Caenorhabditis elegans: one gene and its partner. The protein of the gene in region 1 interacts with the protein of each later gene in a pairwise test. Each region holds a gene or a part of one and is shown on either strand. Other genes may lie near its edges. The genes, in order: spig-9 and asna-1.

Region 1 (3,183 bases):
ACGCTGTAAAAATGACTTTGAATTGGTTGTGCAATACAAAAAGTTTTGTGGGTGTTCACCAGAAAATGCTATTCTTAGTTATGGATAAGTTTTCGGAAGAAAGTCTTCGAAAAGTGTATCCAAGATTGAATATTGTCATCTGGTTGGCACCAGTACTTCAAGTGAGTTTTGAATTTAAAGGCGGAGTTGTTTGTTTGTGGAGTTTGATTAAAACAAGAGAACATTTTGAAAATAATACAATTAAATATTCTGAAATTTTTATTCTGAAATTGTCTAGGGTTCTCTAGCGCAACTAATTTCCTTTTTTTGTAGGTTTTTAAAAAAGTATTGTATAATGTTGATACTTAAAACTTAAAATCCTTAGCTTCCATCTGAAATATTTTTTCAAACAAAAAACATTAATTTTCATCACGTGATTATTTTCAGAAAACATTCCGCCCATATGACATAACATACATGAGCTTTTTCCTAATGAGAACCAATATGATTCATGCACTTCAAAAACTTGGAAAACCGTTTTGGATGCTTCAGGCTGATACAGTTTGGCGTGATAATTTTCTTAACTTGGTCGATGTGAGTAAATATGAGAATAGTGATATTCTTCTTGATCAACAAGGATTCGAAGGAACCGCTGATATTCGGTAATAAAATACAGTTGTTAAATATGATTGAAACGATTGATTGGATAATTTCAGAAAAAGAACAATGAACGGTGCAAACTTCTATATTCCCTCAAAATCTTCCAGTCAGTCTTTAGTAGAATCATGGTTATTTTGGCAGAAAAGTGTGTATATTACTGACCCAGATCTTGTTAAAATGTTTTGTCTCCGTGGAGATTATTCATGTGATTATGTTCCATACAGGTATGGCTACCAAAAAAGTTGATGATTCAAGGTTTCATATTTTTAAATTCAATTTAACTTAAAATTTATCCAAGGCATCTTAAATTTTAAATCGATCTTCTAAGCTCATCAAAACTGTTATTTTCAGTCTGGTAACGGGATGGGAATGGATTTACGGAGACCAGAAAAACCCACCGATCATGATTCAAATGGACGGAGAAACTGGTGGAAATAAGGAGAAAGTGCTTGAAAAATATAATTTCTGGTTTTTGGATAAAAATGACAGATGTAAAGCAGATAAAGTTTCAAAAGGAGTTCAACATATGGTTGATGGAACTGTGCCACGGATTATGACGCAATCAAAGAATCGCGAACAATTTTATTTGAAACTCGGAGAATTTCTCAATCAAATTCCAGTTTTCGGACATTATTCCAGCATTTATGGAGGACTCACGTCGCTTTATTTACAGTTTTTCTGATTTTTAATAAAGTTTTTTGAACGTTTTTATGGCAACTTTTGTGATCGCCAGAAATGCCAAAAGTAACATACTATCGCAAACCGTGCTTGCTAAATTTAATAAAATATAATTCATTAATTTAAAAAAAAACAGAAAAAAGTCAATTGAGAAAAATCGCAAGAAAAAACATTATTGGTACTTACACATTCAATGTGCAGTTTTTTTTGTGTATTTATTCCCAAAAGGTTATCTTAAAAAATTACTTGAAGATACTGTTATTCAATGAAGGATTGATGTCTGAAATATACAAAAGTTCTCATATGTCTTCTATTATTCGAACATTTCACTAAATTTTTTATAAATCAAATGCCCTCTAGGAATGTCCAACAAATCAAAACCTATTACTTTTGTTCCCCTGGTTAGTCTCTCCCAATTAACACCAAAGTTCATCTCTCTGTAAATCCGCCTACATAACCATATCGATCGAACAATGATCATTTTTCATACGATAATCCGGCAGTTTCCATGTACCAGTTAATCCGTTAGTATAAAATAACAGGTAGATTCCTCATTTGACGATTTAAATCATTTCAACATGAACTCTATCTGGACATCTCTTTTTGTAGCAATTCTCGCTGTTTCCGTTATTGCCCTCAACGAGAATGGTAAAGTTACTAATTTAATTTTCGATTTTAATTGATAGTTCTTTAGAAAACAATTATCTGCAAGAGTTGCTCGATGCTGGAATTTCCCAGGAAACCGCTAACAAGCTTGTAGACATCACAGCCAGCCACAACAACGATGGAGAAATTTCTGAGAAATCAGGAAAAACTATTTTCCAAGAAATCATTTCTGAGACTGATGCAGCTATCAAACAAGCACCAGCTAATGATCAGGTTAGTATTTAGTTCAAATGTTTGTCTCCCAGGAGTATAAGTACCCATTAATTTCAGCAAGCCTACAAGGCCTTCGTTGAAAGCAAGGCAGCTGAATTCGGTCAACCAGACGAGATTTCCATTCAAGTTGAATCTGATTCCGAATAATTTTCTAAAACTCAAGTATCGTCTGTATTACAATCTATGATTGTTCGTAATTTTTATTTTTGAGTAAAGTGTTATTCTTCAGTTGTGTGAACTAAATTTTGAACTTCCAAATTTTCCAAGGCTGAAACTAATGTTGTCCTGTTCAGTTGGCAGCCAGAAGCCAGACCACAAAATATGATTGATCTTTGAAAGCTAAATCTTCCAGAATCAATCCTCAAAGCTTCAAAAATCTGAAAATCAAAGATGAGATAACAAAGCTTTAGTTTTGAACGAGCAAGTGAAATAATGGACTTTCACTTTCCCTGCTTTGCAAGAAAGATTTCAGTGTTCTGGATTTAAGTTTTTAACATGAAACTTTTTCATTAAGACTACAGAAAAGGAAAGAATTTTTCAAGTTTTTAGTTTTTGAATATATCGACAGTGTGTTTTATACCTGCTAATCTTAAGTTTGTCGGTCAAATTCTGTGGTTTTTTTGCTATAAATGAGAGAAAACAGTCCCAATCAAGGGTGTCAAGTCCCGTGTCCCGTTTGTCCCGTTGTCCCGTTTTTTGGGTGTTTTCGCGGGAACGGGACATCCGTTGTCCCGTTTTTGTAATTTTTACGGGACATTGACACCCTTGGTCCCAATATACCAAATATAACTGTAAAAAATTCGTCGAATTTTTCTAGATTTTTAATGATCTTTTCAATTTCCAAAAAAAAGAGCTGCATTATTTTCAAATTTCCGCACAAAGAGATGTAGTTTTTAACATTTTAAGCGTTTTCCAGCAACACTGATACGCTTTCCTTTATTTATTCTTTGAAAAATTAAGAAAAACCAACCAGAAATGCCGTAAAAC
Region 2 (3,909 bases), on another chromosome or scaffold:
CACCATCGGATCAATATCCACACTGGACGAGTCGGCTCTACGTCACACCATCAGCTCTTATTGTTCAGGTAAGATTATTATGGAGACGTGGACATACGCTCCAAATGGGAACGACGGAAATTGATAAAATAAAATTAAAAAATAAAAGAAAAAAACTTTTCATTTTTAATGCATTCTTTAAACATAATTTCGGCATAAAAATCATTAAAACTAACGAAAAACATTTCAAAATGGTTGCAAATACGAATTCGTTGAATTCACGGGTTTGCTGCCAAATAACTAACGAGACCCATGGCTCGGGGGCGGAGCGTAGTCAGTTGGCCATGGGGCACATTTCCACGTCTCTATAATAAATCGATATTCTCATTTTCCAGAGTCTTGCCGTCATTGCTCTCGTATGCTGTATGCTTCTAATGGTTGTCGTATTCTTACATTATCGAGAGAAAAAGGAAGATCGATACGAACGACAACAACAATCTCATCGATTCCATTTCGATGCCATGTAGATTTTTTTGTGAATTTTAAGATCATATCTTCTTGAAGACGAGATCGTTTTTTACGGGTTCCCATCATTTGTCTCTTTTTTTGCATATTTGACCTTTTGAAGCTTCATCCTGTGTTTAGATTTCCCATTTCGAGCTGTGATTGCACGTCGGAGTATTTTTAGAGATCAGCTTTAAATCCGAGTTTTCCTTGTTTGAAAATAGAAACATTATTTGAAAACAACTGTAATATTTATTCCACGTGACCCCTTACCCTCCATCACTCTCTTTATAAACTGAACAGAGACTTTTTCGTTTTTTTGACGAACTATTAAAATAAAACTTTTTGAATTTTTTCCTAATGAAGTCAAATCCAAAATATTTTCTAATGAATGACGTGGAGCGGCAGAGCAAATATTCGCCGAAATATGTGAGTTTTCTTCAAATTTTTGTTAACTTTAACAAAAAGTTTCCAATTTCAGGTTCCAAACAACAGTCTGAAAGAGCGAATTCTGGAGTTTTTGGATTATTACATTGCGCCATTGAAACTGTAAGTTTCATTTTATGGAAAATTCTCATAAAAAACTCAATATTTTCAGGTATCTTCTGTCTTACCCGATGCCGGATTGCCTTTGGGACAATCGAAAATTGAGGTATTACATCGGAAAATCGTTGCAATGACATGGAACCCACATTCATTTTTTTCAGATTGAAGGCCAGTGGTGTGCAAGTGACTCCGAGCTCCGAACCAGTTCATATCGATGATCGTCTAATTCACATTTCACAGAAACAACCGTCCGAATGATTTTTCGATTTTTATTTAATAAAGTTTTAGAAATTATTTCATTTTTTTCAAGTTTTATCCGTGTTCTAATGGTTTTCTATTACCTTATTATTATTTCTTCAGTTCTCCAAAAAAAAATATTACCCAGACATAAAATGTTGAGGTTTTGTAACCTGGGTCTCGCCCCGAGAAAATTTTGTTAAATGCAGAAAGTTGTGCGCCTTTGGAGTACTGTAATAAACACTTTCGGAATTTTCATAATCGAATCAAAAAAGTTATTTATTAAAGAACTTAACTCCTATCAAGTCGAGAAAACACTGTAGAAAAACAATAAAAATTTGTATCCATTTTTACTTGAAAAATTAAAAAAACTGCAAAAGGCTAGACATTTCTTTTTAAAATTTCAAACTTTAAATGCAAATAAACCTAAAACTTCTTTTTTTTTCAGAAATAATGTCGGATCAGCTGGAAGCCTCTATCAAGAATATTCTCGAACAAAAAACGCTAAAATGGATTTTTGTGGGTGGAAAGGGAGGTGTCGGAAAGACGACATGCAGTTGCTCATTGGCAGCTCAACTCTCAAAAGTTCGTGAGAGAGTTCTTCTCATCTCCACCGATCCCGCCCACAACATTTCTGATGCCTTCAGTCAGAAATTCACAAAAACTCCAACACTGGTCGAAGGTTTCAAAAATCTCTTTGCAATGGAAATCGATTCAAATCCGAACGGAGAAGGCGTCGAAATGGGGAATATCGAAGAAATGCTGCAAAATGCTGCACAAAACGAAGGTGGAAGCGGTGGATTCTCGATGGGAAAAGATTTTCTTCAAAGTTTTGCTGGAGGACTTCCTGGGATTGATGAGGCAATGAGTTTCGGGGAAATGATAAAGTGAGTGTCAATGATTCTGATTTTTAAAAAATCTATTATTTTTTTCAGGTTGATAGACTCTCTTGACTTCGACGTTGTGGTCTTTGACACCGCTCCAACTGGGCACACTCTTCGTCTTCTTCAATTCCCAACACTTTTGGAAAAAGTATTTACGAAAATTCTGTCACTTCAAGGAATGTTTGGACCAATGATGAATCAATTCGGTGGAATGTTTGGAATGGGAGGTGGATCAATGAATGAAATGATTGAAAAGATGACAACGACTCTAGAATCTGTGAAAAAGATGAACGCACAGTTTAAGGATCCTGTTAGTTTTTCAGATTCAAGTGATATTTAAAATTACTACGGAGATATATCACCCAGACGCGAAAATTGTCGTAAAATTCTGCATCTTGGTAATATGTTTTTTTAACCTTTTCAATTATATCAAGGGTAAATTCTAGCTTGATATATATTGAATTCAGAGATTTTAAATCATCAAAGTTTCTGCAGAGCATTCAAATATGTATTTACAGAATTGCACCACATTCGTCTGCGTCTGCATTGCCGAATTCCTCTCTCTTTACGAAACCGAACGACTTATTCAGGAGTTGTCCAAACAAGGAATCGATACTCATAATATTATTGTGAATCAACTTCTCTTTCCGGATACCGATGCAAATGGAACAGTTTCATGCAGAAAATGTGCATCGAGACAGGCGATTCAGTCGAAATACTTGACAGATGTGAGTTTAAATGAGAAGTTTGATAAATTATTAAATTAGAAACTTTGAGCAAATTAATATTGAATAACCACAGTGCATTTTTGACTCTGTCGTGATTTGCTAGATGCGGAATAAATCAATTTTTCCAGATCGATGAGCTCTACGAGGATTTCCACGTCGTCAAACTTCCACTTCTTGAGGCAGAAGTGCGTGGAGGGCCCGCAATTCTTCAGTTCAGCGAACGGATGGTGGATCCTGAAGCTAACAAAAACTAAACTAATTTGTTCTCCTACAAAATCAACTTGTTCTGTGGTTTTTTATGTTAAAAGATTCTTCCTATCCCATGTTTTTTCTCCAAAATTCCCTGTCCCCTTATTTCTCGCTTTATTGTGGGTGCCTTTTTCGAATCAAATGAATAATTTATGATATTCATTGTTTTTTACTTAGGATTGAAGTATATTTGGAACATAATTATCTTTCAAACTTCAGCCTGGCAAACTATTTTTGTCAAGTAATCATTTTAATTAGCTAGATTTTAGACGTAATTTCTTTCAAATAGTACCTAGTATTAGGCAGCCGACAGGTCATGGGACCAAGCAGTACATTTTTCCGACTGCTAGACTTCATCCGACACTTACCTAGATTCAGAGAATTCAATTTTCACACAACTTGTTAAAATCTCTAGTTTACGAGCTTGTTTTTAACCAGACTTATGGATCCTGAGAATGGAGGGCCATGGAGCCTCCATGGAGGGGATGGCAGTTGGAGATACAATGATTTTGGAGTAATTTTACCTTCGTATTATTTTTCATGTGATTTCATTTTCAATTCACTTAGCCCCGTTTCCTAATGTTCAAGTTGCTATTTCCAATTTATTTTCCTTGGTCCACTTCATATTCCTTGGAATTTTTTCTGCATTCAAATTACCAAATAGCCACGTGCAATATCCCATTCTCTGCAGTTTTGAAATTTGAATTTATACAATAAACATGAGTTGTCAAATATTCAGTCTTAATCTGATATTAGTTCAAATATATTCCAAATCAATTCCA

The links.
Region 2: the proteins of spig-9 (region 1) and asna-1 interact in a two-hybrid assay, tested with the Caenorhabditis elegans proteins (one large-scale study listed by BioGRID).

What each region holds. Positions count from the first base shown.
Region 1 is NC_003283.11:13,610,577-13,613,759, reverse strand, and holds spig-9 (Minor capsid protein), read left to right. Parts: upstream 1-1,874; 5' UTR 1,875-1,895; coding exon 1,896-1,965; intron 1,966-2,011; coding exon 2,012-2,196; intron 2,197-2,253; coding exon 2,254-2,343; 3' UTR 2,344-2,423; downstream 2,424-3,183. Other genes in the region: F53F4.7 (Nucleotide-diphospho-sugar transferase domain-containing protein), read left to right, coding at 1-161, 427-641, 696-863, 991-1,321.
Region 2 is NC_003281.10:8,893,370-8,897,278, forward strand, and holds asna-1 (ATPase asna-1), read left to right. Parts: upstream 1-1,712; 5' UTR 1,713-1,719; coding exon 1,720-2,153; intron 2,154-2,201; coding exon 2,202-2,460; intron 2,461-2,668; coding exon 2,669-2,878; intron 2,879-3,006; coding exon 3,007-3,132; 3' UTR 3,133-3,285; downstream 3,286-3,909. Other genes in the region: lnkn-1 (Protein linkin), read left to right, coding at 1-68, 375-506; ZK637.4 (uncharacterized protein), read left to right, coding at 844-912, 965-1,032, 1,082-1,135, 1,191-1,287. UniProt on the Caenorhabditis elegans protein: ATPase required for the post-translational delivery of tail-anchored (TA) proteins to the endoplasmic reticulum. Recognizes and selectively binds the transmembrane domain of TA proteins in the cytosol.